Linked DNA regions of Astyanax mexicanus. The protein of the gene in region 1 interacts with the protein of each later gene in a biochemical or structural test. Links are inferred from orthologs where the notes say so. Each region holds a gene or a part of one and is shown on either strand. Other genes may lie near its edges. The genes, in order: atf3 and jund.

Region 1 (8,243 bases):
TGTTAATAAATATTTTTTAATTTATTTAGTTGAGTAGTTCTTGCCATACTATGGATTAGAACATTCCTCAAACAGGGCTGTTAACTAAATACCTATAACTCTTCCTCTTCACAACTTTACAACTGATGCTCTCAAACACATTAAGAGTCAAGAAATTCAAGTAATTAATTCTTGACAAGTTCAGCGCAGCTGTTAACTGAAAGACAGTCCAGGTGACTCTACCTCATAACGAGTGAGAAAATCCAGCCAGGATGTGCAAAGCTTTATCCAAGCAAGAGGTGCTACTTTGAAGAATCTTAAATATAGAACATACTCTGCTTTGTTTAACACTTTTTTGTTCCACATGCTGTTCTTCATAGTTTGAATAACTTTAGTATTCAGACCATTAAAGAACACTGAATTTATATGTTCACAGGTATATAATGATATAAAATGTGATATTTCTAATATTTTAATATATTATTTAGTGTCTGTTCCTGATTTGTAGGAACAAACATCTGTTGTGGGAGTTCTCAGCAGTGTATCTGTGGCTTTTATACTGTTCATAACAAAATCAGAATTATGTGTATGGCTAAATTAAATATTAAGTAAATATATATTAGGTAAACTGGGGTAAATAGCTTTCAGTTCAATATATATTGTGTAAAAGTTTACAATTGTTCTGTAATAATAACCTACAGTGTGTAATATTAACCCATGATGTGTTTAATACATATACCGATCCCAGACCTGTAAAGAGAGTTTGCAGTAGGGTCCCGCGTGCTGTGGGCTGTGGTGAGCGGAGTCGGGTTTTCAGGTGAGGACTGGAGGCAGTGATGATAGTAGCTGTGGTGCTGATGATGGGTGGGAAGCTGTGAGTCACGCTGGGAGCTTTACTGGAATGCAGCGCTGGTCAGACTGAAAGCGCAAATAAAGCATTGATCCCAGTGTTTTCTACTACTGCAGCGATACCGCTCTCTCTCTCTCTCTCTCTCTCTCTCTCTCTCTCTCTCTCTCTCTCGGTCTCGGTCTCGTGATGTTGAGGATCAGGGGATGAGTGTTTTCCTGCGCTTCTAGAGGAGGAAGATATGGGATGACTAGTCTCCATTTCCCGGAAAGGATGACGTAACTCCCCTGTTTTCTGTAAGAAGCTGCTATCTTAAAGACACACTGTGGTCTTTATGGGCACCTTATTGTTACCCTTTCCCCTGTGCCTTACTGTAGAGAATAGTTAAGAAGAAAAAGGCTTAGAAAAAGGCTTAAAGGCGATATGTAAAGTTACTTATAATCTTTAAAATATAATATAATTTTTAAGTCGTTTAAGTTCTCTTTCTGGGTCAGAATGTAACATCAACATTTACCCTTAACTGAAAAACAAAAACATTTTGTATGGTTGAACAACACATGGTATTTTGAGAGGCTTATATATTTTTTGACCATGTGTTGGTACTAAAAATGTAAAAAAGCCTTGAAGCCTTGAAGCAAAAGAATGTGAAAGTAAAGATAAATTAAAGTAAAGGAAGTCAGTTTAGAGTTTTAATCAGCCAAAACTTGATCAGAACACTCATAATAAGATAAGGCAAGGTAATTTGTTCATATTATTTATAGCCCTTTTTATACACAGTAACAACAACTCAATACAAATCGAGGATAAAACATCTTCTTTAAACATCATGTTTATATATTTTTTTATATAATTCTATATTAACTTATTAGGTTACAGGCTCTGTACTTGAAAGGTATATGTAAGTTATACTGTCCCAGTATAAACTGTCACACAAATACACACATAAATGCATAAATAAAAATATTAAATGGTTAAATAAGATACCACATAATACATAAACTGAACTTACTGACATTTTATTATAATCCCAGCAATAACCCTGAGATCCCGTATCCATTTCCTGTTATTTGATTGAAACAGTATGGTATTTTGCTTTAAAAAAAAGATGATGACAGACACAGACACGTTCAATTTTAAATACTTAACAGATAATAAAAGCTGGAAAGCAGCAACTAAACAAATTTTGCTGTAGTTACCCTGGAACCTCATAGTGTATTTATAGCTAATTGTTCTGTATTGACCTAAAAACAGCTGTACATATGCCTCAGTTTCTTTTTGAGGACACACCATGGCCCACAGACCTTTAGCCAGCTGTATGACTACGTACAAAGTAAAGGCAATCTCCATAGATACATAATTGCATAAATATAAAAGTATAGCATTTTTATAATCCCAGGAATAACCCAGAGATCCCCATTTTCTATTTCCTGTTATCTGAATGAAACAGTATGGTATTTTTCTTTTAGAAATTAGAAGTTAGTTTAAAACGGAAATATCTCTGCAGTCACAGCTTTAATGTGTCAAAATCATCTTCCCTTTATGATAAATTGTGAAATATCTTGCCCAGTGCTGATTTCTAGTGGTGTGTGATGTCCATTGGTTGCTAGCTAAGTCCACTAATGTAAACACTGAGCGTCATGATGTGGAGTTAATGCTTGCCTTAAATAGCCAAAAGTCAAAATAGTGTGAAATTAAAGAATAAAATATATGATGCTTTTTTATTATTGGTGTTACAGAATACATTATCATATACCATGGGCCATTAAAAAAGGTTTCTTGACATTTCAGATTAGCTAATACTTTTTTTAAAACTGGGCACCCATTTTGAATTACTGTAGTAAAAAAAATAAAAGTAAAAATATATATAAAAAAAATTTTTTGTCCCTTATCTCAAGAATATGTGATTATCCCTGCAGATAGTATGTTTTCCCTGTTAAACACTTTGTAACATTACAGTAAATACAAATAAACATAAATACAGTAAAAAAACAGTTATAAAATGTTGCGTTATGATATGAATAAAAACAGATGGTATAAAACATTTGCACAGTACATAATGCAGCAACTGCACTGTTAAAAAAATTGGGGGGTATTAACTGCCTCTAGATTCCACTTGTACAGATCACAGATTAGAGTACCCTAAACCCAAAATGTAAATGTGCTTTAATTTTGGTAAAATAATTATTCAAGTGGCTGAATTACCTGTCAGATTACTAGAGTTTTAACTGAAATCAGAAAATGTGCTTTTGAATTTTCAACTAGAAAATATAAAACTCATTTTACTTGTGTCCGTTAATCTTTTTAAACTTTCTGTTTCTAACCACACACCTGTATGTTGTTATTTTTTATTTTTCCCTTATATTATTTTTTATTACTGTATATTTAGTTACATAAAAAAGATGATGACAGACACAGACATGTTAAATTTTAAACACTAAACAGATAATAAAAGCTGGAAAGCAGCAACTGAACAGATTTTCAAAACATGTAGTAGTTACCCTGGAACCTCATAGTGTATTAATAGCTAATTGGTCTGTATTGACCTAATAACAGCTGTACATATGCCTCAGTATCTTTTTGAGGACACACCATGGCCCACAGACCTTTAGCCAGCTGTCTGACTACGTACAAAGTAATGGCAATCTCCATGACGTGATGTAGTCTGTCAGTTGGTGCACTACATAAAGAGTAGTCACACCACCACAATAAACTGTACATATTTACTCAAATGCTTCATCCACAATTAAAAGATATATACAGTAATTAGATTTTTTAGGAATTCTTTAGTCTAGAAAACAGATGTGACTGTTATGTTTTCCTATCTGGCTGTTTTATTTTGTTTACTATTTTCTGGTTATAGTTCTTGTGTGTGAATTTGCTAAGATGTGGGTCCCTCAAGAAATCTACCTATCACTCTGCTCATCACAAATTACAATCATTGCCCACAATGCTGGATAAAGCTATAAGAAGAACACTTTTGCAACTGTTAAGAATGTTGTGGTTCAGTCATACTTTAGGCTTATGTTTTGTTCAGAGGCACAGGGAACATTTTACTGATAAAAGACATTGCACTTACAGACTTCCAACCTAATCATCATTAAAAACCTGTCGGTAGATTTTTACTCTGAAAAATTACAAAAGTTTAGAAGTTTAGAACATTTCTTGGCACCAGTCAGAAAAACCACAGCATGTACTTGGGAAAACCATCAAGTAAAAAATTAAATTTTTTTGTGAAATGATAAAGCTCTTTGGGACAACCTTTCCAGTCATGGGAGTCAACAAGATATGTAAAATCAACAGTGTCATGTTTTGATTGCTATGTTATTGTTCCCTGGTAACTCTATGTGCCTGTGTGTGTGTGAGTGTGTGTGTGTTTACAAAGGCTGTATCTCTATAGAGTGGGAGAGGACAGGACATTTCCAGAACATAGGGTTAGGAGCCTATACTGGGGTGGTTCAAAACAATAAATGGTAATAAACCAGTACTTCAGGATACAGGCTGCACTGGCCTCCACTCCCTGAAATTCTTCTCTGGTAAGTCTGTCTTTGGCAAACTGAAAGAAACACAAGCCCACTTATGTCTTACCTCTGCCCTATCTTAGTAAACTGGAACAATTATTTTACCCTTAATCTTGACCATTAAAGTCTGATTTTCCTAACCTATGTGATTTTTGTCACAAACAGCTGCTGATCTAGCTCTAAGCTAAACTAAAGATGAAAAGTTTGACACACACACATACGTAAAGTAAATATGTATTACCTTAAAAAACTTTCTCCAACTTCCCAGCTTCGCATCTCTGTTTCTATACAGTGATCTGATCAGTCAGGGGTGTGTTTGGTCTTCATAACTGAATCTGGACACAGTTATGATGAAGTGAGAGAGCTGTCACGGCTGTGTGTGTGTTCAACAGATCGAGGGCGAGCTGGCCTGGTTCTGTATAAAGAGGGGCAAGCTGTCCTACTTTTTTGGTAACGTTTCAAGACAGCATACCAAAACTCCCCAGTCATTAGTCAGGCATGCCTTTATTTGCTCATTAGTGTAAAATGTTTGGAGCTACATTCCCGCAGTTCTGGAGGGGTGTGTGGGGGGGTGATCCTGTCCTCTTATGGTGTCTGTGTGGAGAGGGTTGCCTGATTGCATCATCGCAGAGCAAAGCCGCTCTCAGTGCTATAAATAGGCTGACGTCACCATGCCCAGCCCCGCCCCCTTTTACTAGTAAGATGCCTCGGCGAGGCTCCTACTATAAAGCGAGGGTGATGCAACGCGCCGCCGAGAGCTGTAAGTTTCTCAGCTGAGAGAGAGAGAGAGAGAGCACGCCGAGCCCGGACCCGTCCACGCGCCCTGCTCACACACACGGTGAGTACAGCCCCGCTCAGCCGCCGCCGCCTCTGCTGCTCCCAGAGCCGAGTCTCTGGGTTTCACACACAGACTGAAACAGGCGAGGCAGGGCGCGCGCGGGCTTTAAACTTTCCTCACCACACTCCGAGAGTCAGACCGGCTGCTTTACCCCTATAGCGAGAGAGATCTGCCCCCAATCTCAACGGGAAAGAGCTAAAACACGCAGAAAGACGAGCGATATGCCGATACAGGCTATAGGCTCGCTCTCGATCAGTCGGATTAGCAGACACACACTGAAGACTTTTCTCCTCTTCCCACACTGACTCCCACAACCTGTATCTTCATAATGACAACTTCTAAACTTTTACCACAACTCAGTTCACACACTAAGAAAAAATAGTACAGATTTGTACTTAAAAGAGGACCAAGCTTGTCGCTGTGGCTGTACTTTTTATTGAGAGCACATTTCAGTTAAAGTTTCGTTTTTTCATGTTTTTTGTACCAGTAAATATTTTAAAGATTATCTTCTTACAGAGTATGTGTCAAGAACTTGATGATCCAAAATTGTCTGGCTTTCAAATGAAAAATGTGTAATTAATATATATATATATATATATATATATATATATTGTTTATTCGTACAGTGATACAGAATACCGGTTAAATGGCTGGTTAAATTGTACAAATCTGTACCTCCTCCCTGTTCAAGAAAGTACTTTTTCGTACCTCTGGTTTTTAGTCTGTAAAGTACTTTATTCCAGCGCAAAGTTGAGTATTTCTGTTGATCCGTTCATCATGAAAGTTTGATGAAACGACAAAAAGCTACCTGATTAAAACTTTGACAAAATGTAAATATGCCGTTTTTGCGTGATAGTGACGATGTATATTTTACAGGGTAAATTAAATTGTGAGCTCGCTCAGGACACATGGCTATCTTGCTTCAGTAAACTGTTTATATGCAGGTGTTCTAGTGTGAGCAGTGTGCAGTACTACAGGTCTAACCCGCGCTGTGGATTTATATGTGTTCAGGTTTCAGAATGATGCTTCAGCATTCCGGACTGGGTTTCGGTCCTTCAGAAATCAGCGCCTCTGCCCTGGTGCCCTGTCTGTCTCCGCCGGGCTCCCTCACGCTCGACGACTTTACCACGTTCAGTCCGCTCGTCAAGGAGGAGCTGCGCTCCGCCATCCACAACAAGCGCCTTTCCAGCGGCATGAGCGCCACCCCGAGCTCCGGAAGCTCCAGCTCGGGCCCGTCCTGCGAGCCCCCAGTCAAGAGAGAGGTACTCCCGGCCACCATCATCACCACCTACAGATCAGCTCTTTCAGAGACATCAGTTAACTTTACATTAATTTGCTTGTTGTGGGATTGTATCCAAGTGCATCTCAAAAAATTAGAAGAGCATTGAAAAGTTACTTTATTTCAGTTATTCAATTTAAAATGTGAAACTTATATATTATATAAATGTATTAAACACACAGTGATCTATTTTACACATTTATTTATTTTATTGTTGGTGATTATGTCTAATGCACCTATATATAAGAGTTTCACATTTTGAACGTAATTACTAAAATAAAGTAACTTTTTAAAAGATATTCTATTTTTTGGGATGCACTAGTTTGTGATTAAAGTGAACAACATACATTTTATTGAGCCAAAGTGCAGTTTAAGAAGTAAAGATATAAGAAACATTCATAAAAGAGCATTAACCTATACTGACTATGCCGAGAAACTAACGTGTTAACTCACTCCCTTCCAGTTTACCTCTGAAGAAAATGATCGGAGGAAAAGAAGACGAGAAAGAAACAAAATTGCTGCTGCCAAATGCAGGAACAAAAAGAAGGAGAAAACAGACTGTCTGCAAAAGGTAGAGTTTGGTTAAGTTGTCTTTTAAGAGAATGTACAAGCAAAAAGTGAAAAGCTTTTTCAGTATTTTCTCTTTAAATTAACCTCACAAACTCACACATTAATTCGTATTACTAATGAATTCACATATTTATGGTATATAGATTAACACTTAAGAATAATAAGTATTTTTTTTATCAAATCCTTTGTTAACATTTCCTTGTTGTTTATTTGTGCCTGCTTGAATCAAGAAAATTCATCACATCTGCTTTACAGTATAATAATAATTAATTGTTACTTGTTCTTTTCTTGTACTCCTGTAGGAGTCTGAGAAGCTGGAGTCTATAAACGCTGAGCTGAAAGCTCAGATCGAGGAGCTAAAGAACCAGAAACAGCAGCTAGTCTACATGCTCAACCTGCATCGGCCAACCTGCATCGTGCGTGCCCAGAACGGCCAGACTCCAGAGGACGAGAGGAACCTCTTCATCCAGCAGATCAAGGAGAGCACCCTGCAAGGTCTAAACCTGACTACCGTCGGACCAGTGCTTGCCACCACTGTGCCAACCACATGTGGCCATCTCTAATGTACAGACTGCGAGGCTCTCGCCGTAAAGTTTCAGGACATTCTTTGCCAAGGGGGATCACAGAATCCTGTAGGAGACTACAAATAAAGACTAAGGACTAAGAAGAAGGTGGGTGCACCCCACATACTCTTGATGTCTCTCTGTAAGCAGTCTGTCAAAGCACTAACATTGAAAGACATTTGATGTGTTTAATGTTGTATACTATTTAAAACTGTAAAACAACTGTCAAATAACAATTTCATGCTGTTCTATATGTGCACCAAAGCGTGATATCATGTCCCCTAAAGTGACGTGATTTCATTTATATAGACATATGTTGTCATGTATAACCTTGTTAAATATAGTTTTGTGATGCTAGCGGTACCCAAGGAGGAATAGTACTGTAGTAATAAAACTGAATACACTGTGTTTTTAAGAATGAGGTGAGGATTGATATGCTCCATGTCATTAAATGGAACATACAGTTATTTTTCCAGAATGATGCATAATTCAGTGGTTGAGATGCTAACAAGTCAGCATGTGTAATTTGCTGGAATTAATTATACACAGTGGCAGTGATAGAAAGAGCATTAATCTGGCCAATTTATTAAGAACCTAAATGACAATGGAATTTACATGTAATGCTGATTAAGTTATTAATATTAATTAT
Region 2 (7,863 bases), on another chromosome or scaffold:
AAGCAAGGAAGTTTGCTAGCTATTAATGTGTCCGCTTTTGGTACACCAAGGCCATAAAATTCAAAATATAACCACACACTTACATATAACCTTTAAAGATTACATTACAAAAAAGCACATATACTACGATAATTACTCGGATGGATCAAGATTCGCCCGCTTTTCACCTGCCTCGCGATCCTCGCCAGACGTTTCTCGTTCATGGACTGAACTTCTGAGCATGCGCAGCATCTGTCCTACGGAAGCTTGTGCAAGTCACACAACACTGCGTTACCAAAGCCAGTTTACTGGAGAATACGCGGGCATTAAACCAAACTAAGTGGATTGTGTGGCTTCAGCGGGTCTTCAGTTTATGTTAAATCAGCCAAGCTGAACTTGGTTTAAAGCTAAAAATGAGTACCGGTGCACTTAAGTTATTTGTTTCAAACATTGTATTTCCCTGTGGGTATGAGCCAAATCTAGCTAAACCAAAAACACTTCACAAAATATCCCTTATTTACCGTGTGAACCACATTACACTACTAACGCAACTCCGAGACTGGCCGTTTAATGACGTTAGCCTGCTAGCGCTAGCATACTAGCGCCCTAGCACAAGCGAAGCTCATAATTCACACATTTGAAGACAAATATGAATAATTAACTAAACATAAAAATATATTTTACACTATATGTGGTTACAACACCCCTAGGATGCGATCAAAAGTCCGTGAATTGAGTTTAAAAGTTTGTTTTACGAGCTATGCTGGCGCTAGGGTGCTAACGCTAGCGAGCTAACACTAGCAAGCTAACGCTAGCGCCCTAGCGCTAGCATAGCTCGTAATTCACACATTGGTTGGCAGATATGAGTATCCAGATACACGTAAAATTAAAATGTACACTATATGAGGTTACGACCACATGATGCGACCACAATTCCGTGAATTGAGTTTAAAAGTTTGTTTTACGAGCTATGCTGGCGCTAGGGTGCTAACGCTAGCGAGCTAACACTAGCAAGCTAACGCTAGCAAGCTAACGCTAGCGCCCTAGCGCTAGCATAGCTCGTAATTTACACATTGGTTGGCAGATATGAGTATCCAGATACACGTAAACATAAAATGTACACTATATGAGGTTACGAGACCCACATGATGCGACCGCAATTCCGTGAATTGAGTTTAAAAGTTTGTTTTACGAGCTATGCTGGTGCTAGGGTGCTAACGCTAGCGAGCTAACACTAGCAAGCTAACGCTAGCGCCCTAGCGCTAGCATAGCTCGTAATTCACACATTGATTGGCAGATATGAGTATCCAGATACACGTAAAATTAAAATGTACACTATTTGAGGTTACGAGACCCACATGATGCGACCGCAATTCCGTGAATTGAGTTTAAAAGCATTTTGTGATTAAAAAACGCTAATGCTAACTTGGCTAGCTAGCTAACATGAAGCTGACTGGCCAGGTAGATATTTTATTACACAGTGAGGTTTCTCTTACCTAAATTCCCCATACACACGAACTGCTTTTAATAAATTACCAAGTACAGCTTAAATATACATATATTTATGACTAATACTCACCGCACTCTCTGCTTTTCCAAAATAAAATGGCGCTGCTGCTGAAGAGAAGTCCACAGACAGCCACGAATGTCCCGGATGAAGAAAGTAGCCAGCCTGTTGAGTTTACTTCACTGGGATGCGTTCACCAAACATGCACTTATTAATTAAATCAGACAACTTAACTGACTTTCATCACAGCAGTCCAACTGACTCAGGTTTCACTTGCTAACACAAAGCTGTTAAGTAATTTTAATTAAAAATACTTGATTAAAATCAACAACAGGGTGAGTTTATTTTTTTGAGTGTAGTGACCCTATTGTGTGTTACTGCATCTATTAAGTCTATTCAGTCATCTGCTTATTTTTCAGTGACAACATGAAACACAATACTAAATTATCTTTCTCAGTATCTCTTCTCCTTCTCTTTCCAAGTTTCCATATGGAGGTTTTGTTTTGACTGCAACAATATCTATGTCTCACTGTCTGATCAGGACATTACAATGAGTAAATATTTGTCTGGCACTGAAACAAACAGTACAGGGGCCACTTCCCCATTTCAATACAGCTTCCATATCTATAGAGAACATGAGTTACTGTACATAGTTCCACATATGCATGAAAAGGATATTCTCACATCATTTTTGTTTAAGATTTGCATATTTTCTCTTGGGTTTGATTGGTTGCCATGGAACAAATCCACTGCATGTGATTCGCTATTATTTTATTACACCTCTGAAATTATTGAAAGCAGCTGTGCTATAAGCAGGGGCGTAGCAGCAAATTCGGGGCCCTGTACACTCTCAGTGACAGTGGGCCCCTATCCATGCCAGTACACAAGGAACGTGAGCAAAAATTTTCATGGGCCCCTCTCTCTACTTGGGCCCTGGGTGGTCAGGTCCACTTTTCCCCCCACTACCACGCCCATGGCTATAAGAACAATAGAAATGTCTGTAAAGAGTTAAATGTTAAAGAGGCTGGTCCAGAGCTTATGTGCTGCTAAAAACAGAGAATCCAGGTAAACACCACCCCACTAAATGACCCCCTGACCCTGTATTTAAAACACTGAGTTATAAACAAATAGAAAAAAGAAAGAGCAGCATCAAAAGCTTGGTCACACCAAACAATTTAAGCATTTAGATCATTTTTTCCAGGGTCCTAGACCTTGGCTGGACTTGTCCATGATTATCTCCATATAATGTACATTATAAAGCTTTATGAATGCTCTGGCTGCATCTTAATTGAGTACCACACACTAAAACTATGGGTTTAGACCCTACATTGATCTTAATAGTGCATGTTTGACAGGTTAGTATACACAAAAAAAACAATACATTATTCTCTTTTGTACTAGCTTGCCACCAGCTACTGGAGCCCTGAGAGAGCACAATTGGCCTTGCTCTCTCTGGGTGGGTAGATGGAGCTCTTTCCCCTTATCACTCCTAGGGTGATGTCCATCAGCACAAGGCATCTGTGAACTGATGTATTAGAACCGAGTCGCTGCGCTTTCCTCCAAGCGTGCAGTGATGCTACTCGGCAATGCTGCATCAGTCGCAGTTTAAAAAGAGGTGTGGCTGACTTCACATGTATCAGAGGAGGCATGTTCTAGTCTTTTGAATACAGTCAGCAAAGATATGTTTTGCTAAAACAAAGTCTGACAAATTTTATGAAAATAACACCTTCCCAAGTGTTAAGCAAGGGAGTGGAGGGGTCATGCTTTGGGCTTGTGTTGCAGCCAGTGATGCCAGCTGACTGGCATCGTTTACATCTCAGACAGATAATTTAAACAGTCGGTCCATGTGCTCTAAATGGTAGATGAACTGTGGATACTCCAGATTACACTGAACTTCTCTCGGGCTTACAGCAGTCAGACTCTCTCAGAGTGTGTTTATGTGGAAATGTGTGACTCCTGCGTCCTCAGATATGAAAACAGTGTGCAAAGTTGAGCTGCAGACGTCCAGAAAGTCTCCACAGGATGGAGGAAGGGTAACATTTCCAACCAGACATTGTTCCAGCCTCTCCTACACCTCCTTCCAATCTCTCTCTCTCTCACTTTTCACTTTGATGTGTCTGAAAGCCTCCATAGACTTGAGGAATAGGAGTTTCCAACCAGACACTGTTTCAGCCTCCTCCTCCCTCTCTCTCTCCCTCTCTCTGTATCCACTTTGTTTATCTATCTCTCTTTCTTAATATTGAGGTGTCTGAGAGCCTCCTAAGAAAAACTTTAAGAAAAGGAATTTCCAAGAAGAAACAGTTTCAGCCTCTCTCTCTCTCTCTCTCTCTCTCTCTCTCTCTCTCTCTCTCTCTCTTTCTTTCCCTATCTTTACTTTGAGGTGTCTGAAAACCCCCTAAAAAAACTGTAAGAAACATTCTTCCTTCTTTCCCTCTTTCTTCGTTCTTACCTTCTTTCTTTCTCTTTTGCTCTCTCTGTCATTTTTATTTCTCTATTTATTTATTTCTCCTTCGTTATTGTCTTTCTTTCAATCTTTGTCTCTCTTTATTTCTTTATTACTTTATTTATCTATCTTTCTTTCTTTTACTCTCTCTCTTTATTTATCTATTATTTATTTCTCTTTCTTTTTTCTTTCTTTTTCTTTCTCTCTGTCTCTTTTTATTTCTCTATTTATTTCTCTTTCTTTCCTTCTTTTACTCTCTTTATTTCTCTATTTATTTATTTTTCTTTCGTTTGATCTCTCTTTCTTTCTCTATTACTCTATTTCTCTTTCTTTCTTTCTGCCTGTTTTTCTTTCTTTTATTCTTTCTATATGTCTGTCTGTGTTTCTTTATGTCTTTCTTTCTGTCCAGCTTCCTGTACTCAGTTCCTCCACAGGCTGCTGCTGTTGCTATAAAAGCAGCATTTCCACGCAGACGCCCCGCCCCCTCTCCCTCCGCCCTCCTCCCCCCTCATCCTCCCAGCCCCTCCCGCGCGCTCCGGCTCCGGCTCCGCTCCCTCGCTCGCGCCACCCTCGCGCGCTCCCCTACGTCTTCTGTCATGACATCAACCCAGAATGCAGCGCGCTGTTTGCAGTTTGCCCCCGCGTCTCCGGGGCGACGGGGCAGGGGCCCGCCCCTTTATGCAGATGAGGCCGGGGGAGAACGTCATCTCGGTCCAATCTGCGCGCGCTGGGGTGACATAATGGAAATTTTTTTTCGGGCGAGCGAGAAAAACTTGCAAATGTTTTATTTTCCGCCCATCCTGAACCCGGGAAGGCTGCGGGGCTGAGAAGCGCTCACACCACGATCTAAAGCGAGAGACGGGGAACGTAAGGAGTTACGTGAGAAAACGAGTGGGTTTTTTTTGTATTTTTTTCGGGGTTTTAACGTGTTTTGGGCTGTTTTACTGACTCTTACCTAAAGCTGGGATACGTGGCTACTCAGATGGACGGCTGTTTAGCGCACAGGCTCATTTTACCCCCTCTTAGGGAGTAGAATGGGCAACCACAACAAACCCAACGCTACCTAACCTTCTACTACTAGACCCTGAAGAAGTGGTTAACAGGTAAAAACAGCAGAAAAAGAGAAACACCCCAAAAGAGACTCTCACCACCATCAACACCACCTTCACCACTTCATCCACACCTCCACCACAGAGGCATGATGAAGAAGGAACTAAGCCTAAACCTGAACGAGCAGAGCGCCGCCTCCGAGCTCAAGCCGGAGCTGAGGGACGGCGAGGCCATGCTTGCCTCAGCCGAGCTGGGTCTTCTCAAGCTGGCCACCCCGGAGCTGGAGAGGCTCATAGCCCAGTCAACGACTCCCGCCGCCTCCGCGCAGTTCTCCTCCTACCCCAAGTCCGTCAGCGACGAGCAGGAGTTCGCCGAGGGCTTCGTCAAAGCCCTGGAGGACCTTCACAAGCAGAACCAGCTGAACGGAGGGGCGGCCGGAGCGCTGGGCGGCCGGCTTCTAGCGAGCCACGCCGGCTTGGCTCTACCCACAGACCTTCCCGTGTACACGAACTTGAGCACGTACAGCACCACGGTGAACTACAGCACGGATACCATCCCTTTCCCACCACCTCCTCCACCTCCACCTCCTCCACAGCAGCAGCAGCCAGCACCACAGCAGGCTCCCACCTCAGCCGAGCAGCACTCGCGGCTCCAGCCCCTCAAGGACGAGCCCCAGACCGTCCCCGACGTCCAGTGCTTCGGCGACAGCCCCCCGCTCTCGCCCATCGACATGGACACGCAGGAGCGCATCAAGGCCGAGCGCAAGAAGCTGCGCAACCGCATCGCCGCCTCCAAGTGCCGCAAGCGCAAGCTGGAGCGCATCTCGCGGCTGGAGGACAAGGTGAAGTCCCTCAAGAGCCAGAACACGGAGCTCGCCTCCACTGCCAGCGTGCTGAGGGAGCAGGTGGCGCAGCTCAAGCAGAGGGTCCTCAACCATGTCAACAACGGGTGCCAGCTGCTGCCCAGCCAGGTGCAGGCCTACTGAGATACTGAGATAGAGGAGGAGGAACTCTGGGAGAGACCTTTCTATCTATCTGTCTATCTATCTACCCTCTCTACTCCTCTTTCTCTTTATTTTCTGATCCCTACTCCTCACACTATGGTGCCCTGCTGCTGACATGCAGTGAAAATGAAACTAGGTCGTGGCCACGACTTGATCCCATGTCATGTTCATGTTTATGTTCAAGCTGTATGAGCTGTAAGGCATAGGAACTTGATTGTTAAGTATTGACCACAATTTAATAAGGCGTGGAAACAAGAGAGTTAAGTCGTGGCCATAGCTTTCTAAGGTGTGGGACAAGATGATAATAATTAAGTAATTGCCACAAGTTAGTTAAGTGTGGGAAGGACAAAATAGAGTTGTGACCACAGCTTACAAAATAATTAAGTTGCTGCCTCAATTTACTAAGATGACTTAATTAAGTAAAATATGGGAACAGGATCCTATACTGTGTCCACAACTTAATATGGTATGGGAAAAGAAAAATAAGAGTATTGCTATTCATTTTGTTTTTTATAAATGTGGGAACAAGAAAACTCCAAAAAGTCATGACCATGATTTAGTAAGTTGTGGGAACCAAGTAATTAAGTCATGGCCTCTACCTAATAAGGTGTGGGAACAAGATAATTAAGTTGTGGCCACAAGGTAGTGAAACAATGGAGACATGATGAGTCATTAAGTCATGGCCTTGGCTTGGAAAAAAGTGGGAACATGATAATTAAGCTGTATTTACAAGCTAATACGCATAACATAATGAAGTTGCGGCCATGACTTATAATAACAAGATCTTGTTCCTATGTGGACACAGCTTATTTTTACTTACGTTGGCTTTCCGCAGCAGGGCTCCATATCTCCTCCTCCAGCAGAAGAACATAGACTTTATGAACTTTACGGAGCTACGGCAAAACACCAAAAATAAGGGGACATCACCAAGGGTGGGTTCAGGTATAATAATGGAAAGGTCCATCAGGTCACATGGGACAGTGCTTTGGTATGGTATAGTATGTATAAGATAAGTATATTGTACATTCCTGAAAAGCTTAAATAGAACTAAAAAGCTGGTTTACAGCTTTTTAAATACTCAAGGCTAAGAGGTTTTCAGTATTTAAGCTGTATTTAACTGTTTCTTCCTTAAAAACTCTAAAATAGCTCTCAATTTGAGGGAACAAGTCCTAGGCCAAGAATGTTGAAACCGGTTTTCACCTAAAATGACATTTCTAATCAAATCTACTCATTCAGAACATCTGGATCAGTAAACATCAGCTGAAACTGGAATAAACAAAAGTGTTGTCCTACTAAAGTGTCCTCCCATGTTACCAGAAGGCCCAGCGTACCCAATCCACCCTCTTTTGGTGCTGATGTATAAAGACAGAGATGTTTTCAATATGTTTACACCGTTTTGTAGCAAATGGACTTCTCTAAGGGACTGTCTGAAAGAACACTACTACTACTACTACATTTGGTTCTCAAGCCTGTTTTAGGCCTATTTGGGACAATTTGGGACTATTTTGGACTGTTTGGGACAAGAGGAGAAGACTAAACGCAGCAGTGTTTTGCATGATAACGAGACAAGCTCAGTGAGCGCAACCAAACACAGATTGTCATGCATGCACTCTTCATGTGTAAAGCCTTATTTGTCTACGAGCACTTATTACCCGATGACCTTATCTATTTTGTATACAGCTTTTCACACAATGTCTTATCTTCCTTGTTTTGTTATTATTTTTGCTATTGTGAATTGTTTGCTGTTATGAAATATGTTTGTTTTTTTGTTATGGACTCGCGTGTCGAAAGTGTTTCCCTTTTGAATACGTCACATGTCTATATGTATTGCCTTTTTAAATGGAATACTGTGTAATAAAAGTGTTATTACATTTGCTCAGT

Evidence for each region.
Region 2: the proteins of atf3 (region 1) and jund form a complex in vitro, tested with the Homo sapiens proteins (2 studies listed by BioGRID and IntAct, with this or other methods). The link is inferred for Astyanax mexicanus from reciprocal best matches to the Homo sapiens genes ATF3 and JUND.

What each region holds. Positions count from the first base shown.
Region 1 is NC_064408.1:57,292,403-57,300,645, reverse strand, and holds the start of atf3 (cyclic AMP-dependent transcription factor ATF-3), read left to right. Parts: upstream 1-5,053; 5' UTR 5,054-5,182; intron 5,183-6,193; 5' UTR 6,194-6,201; coding exon 6,202-6,444; intron 6,445-6,924; coding exon 6,925-7,032; intron 7,033-7,333; coding exon 7,334-7,594; 3' UTR 7,595-8,243.
Region 2 is NC_064411.1:48,552,949-48,560,811, reverse strand, and holds jund (transcription factor jun-D), read left to right. Parts: upstream 1-4,610; 5' UTR 4,611-5,127; coding exon 5,128-5,964; 3' UTR 5,965-7,861; downstream 7,862-7,863. UniProt on the Homo sapiens protein: Transcription factor binding AP-1 sites.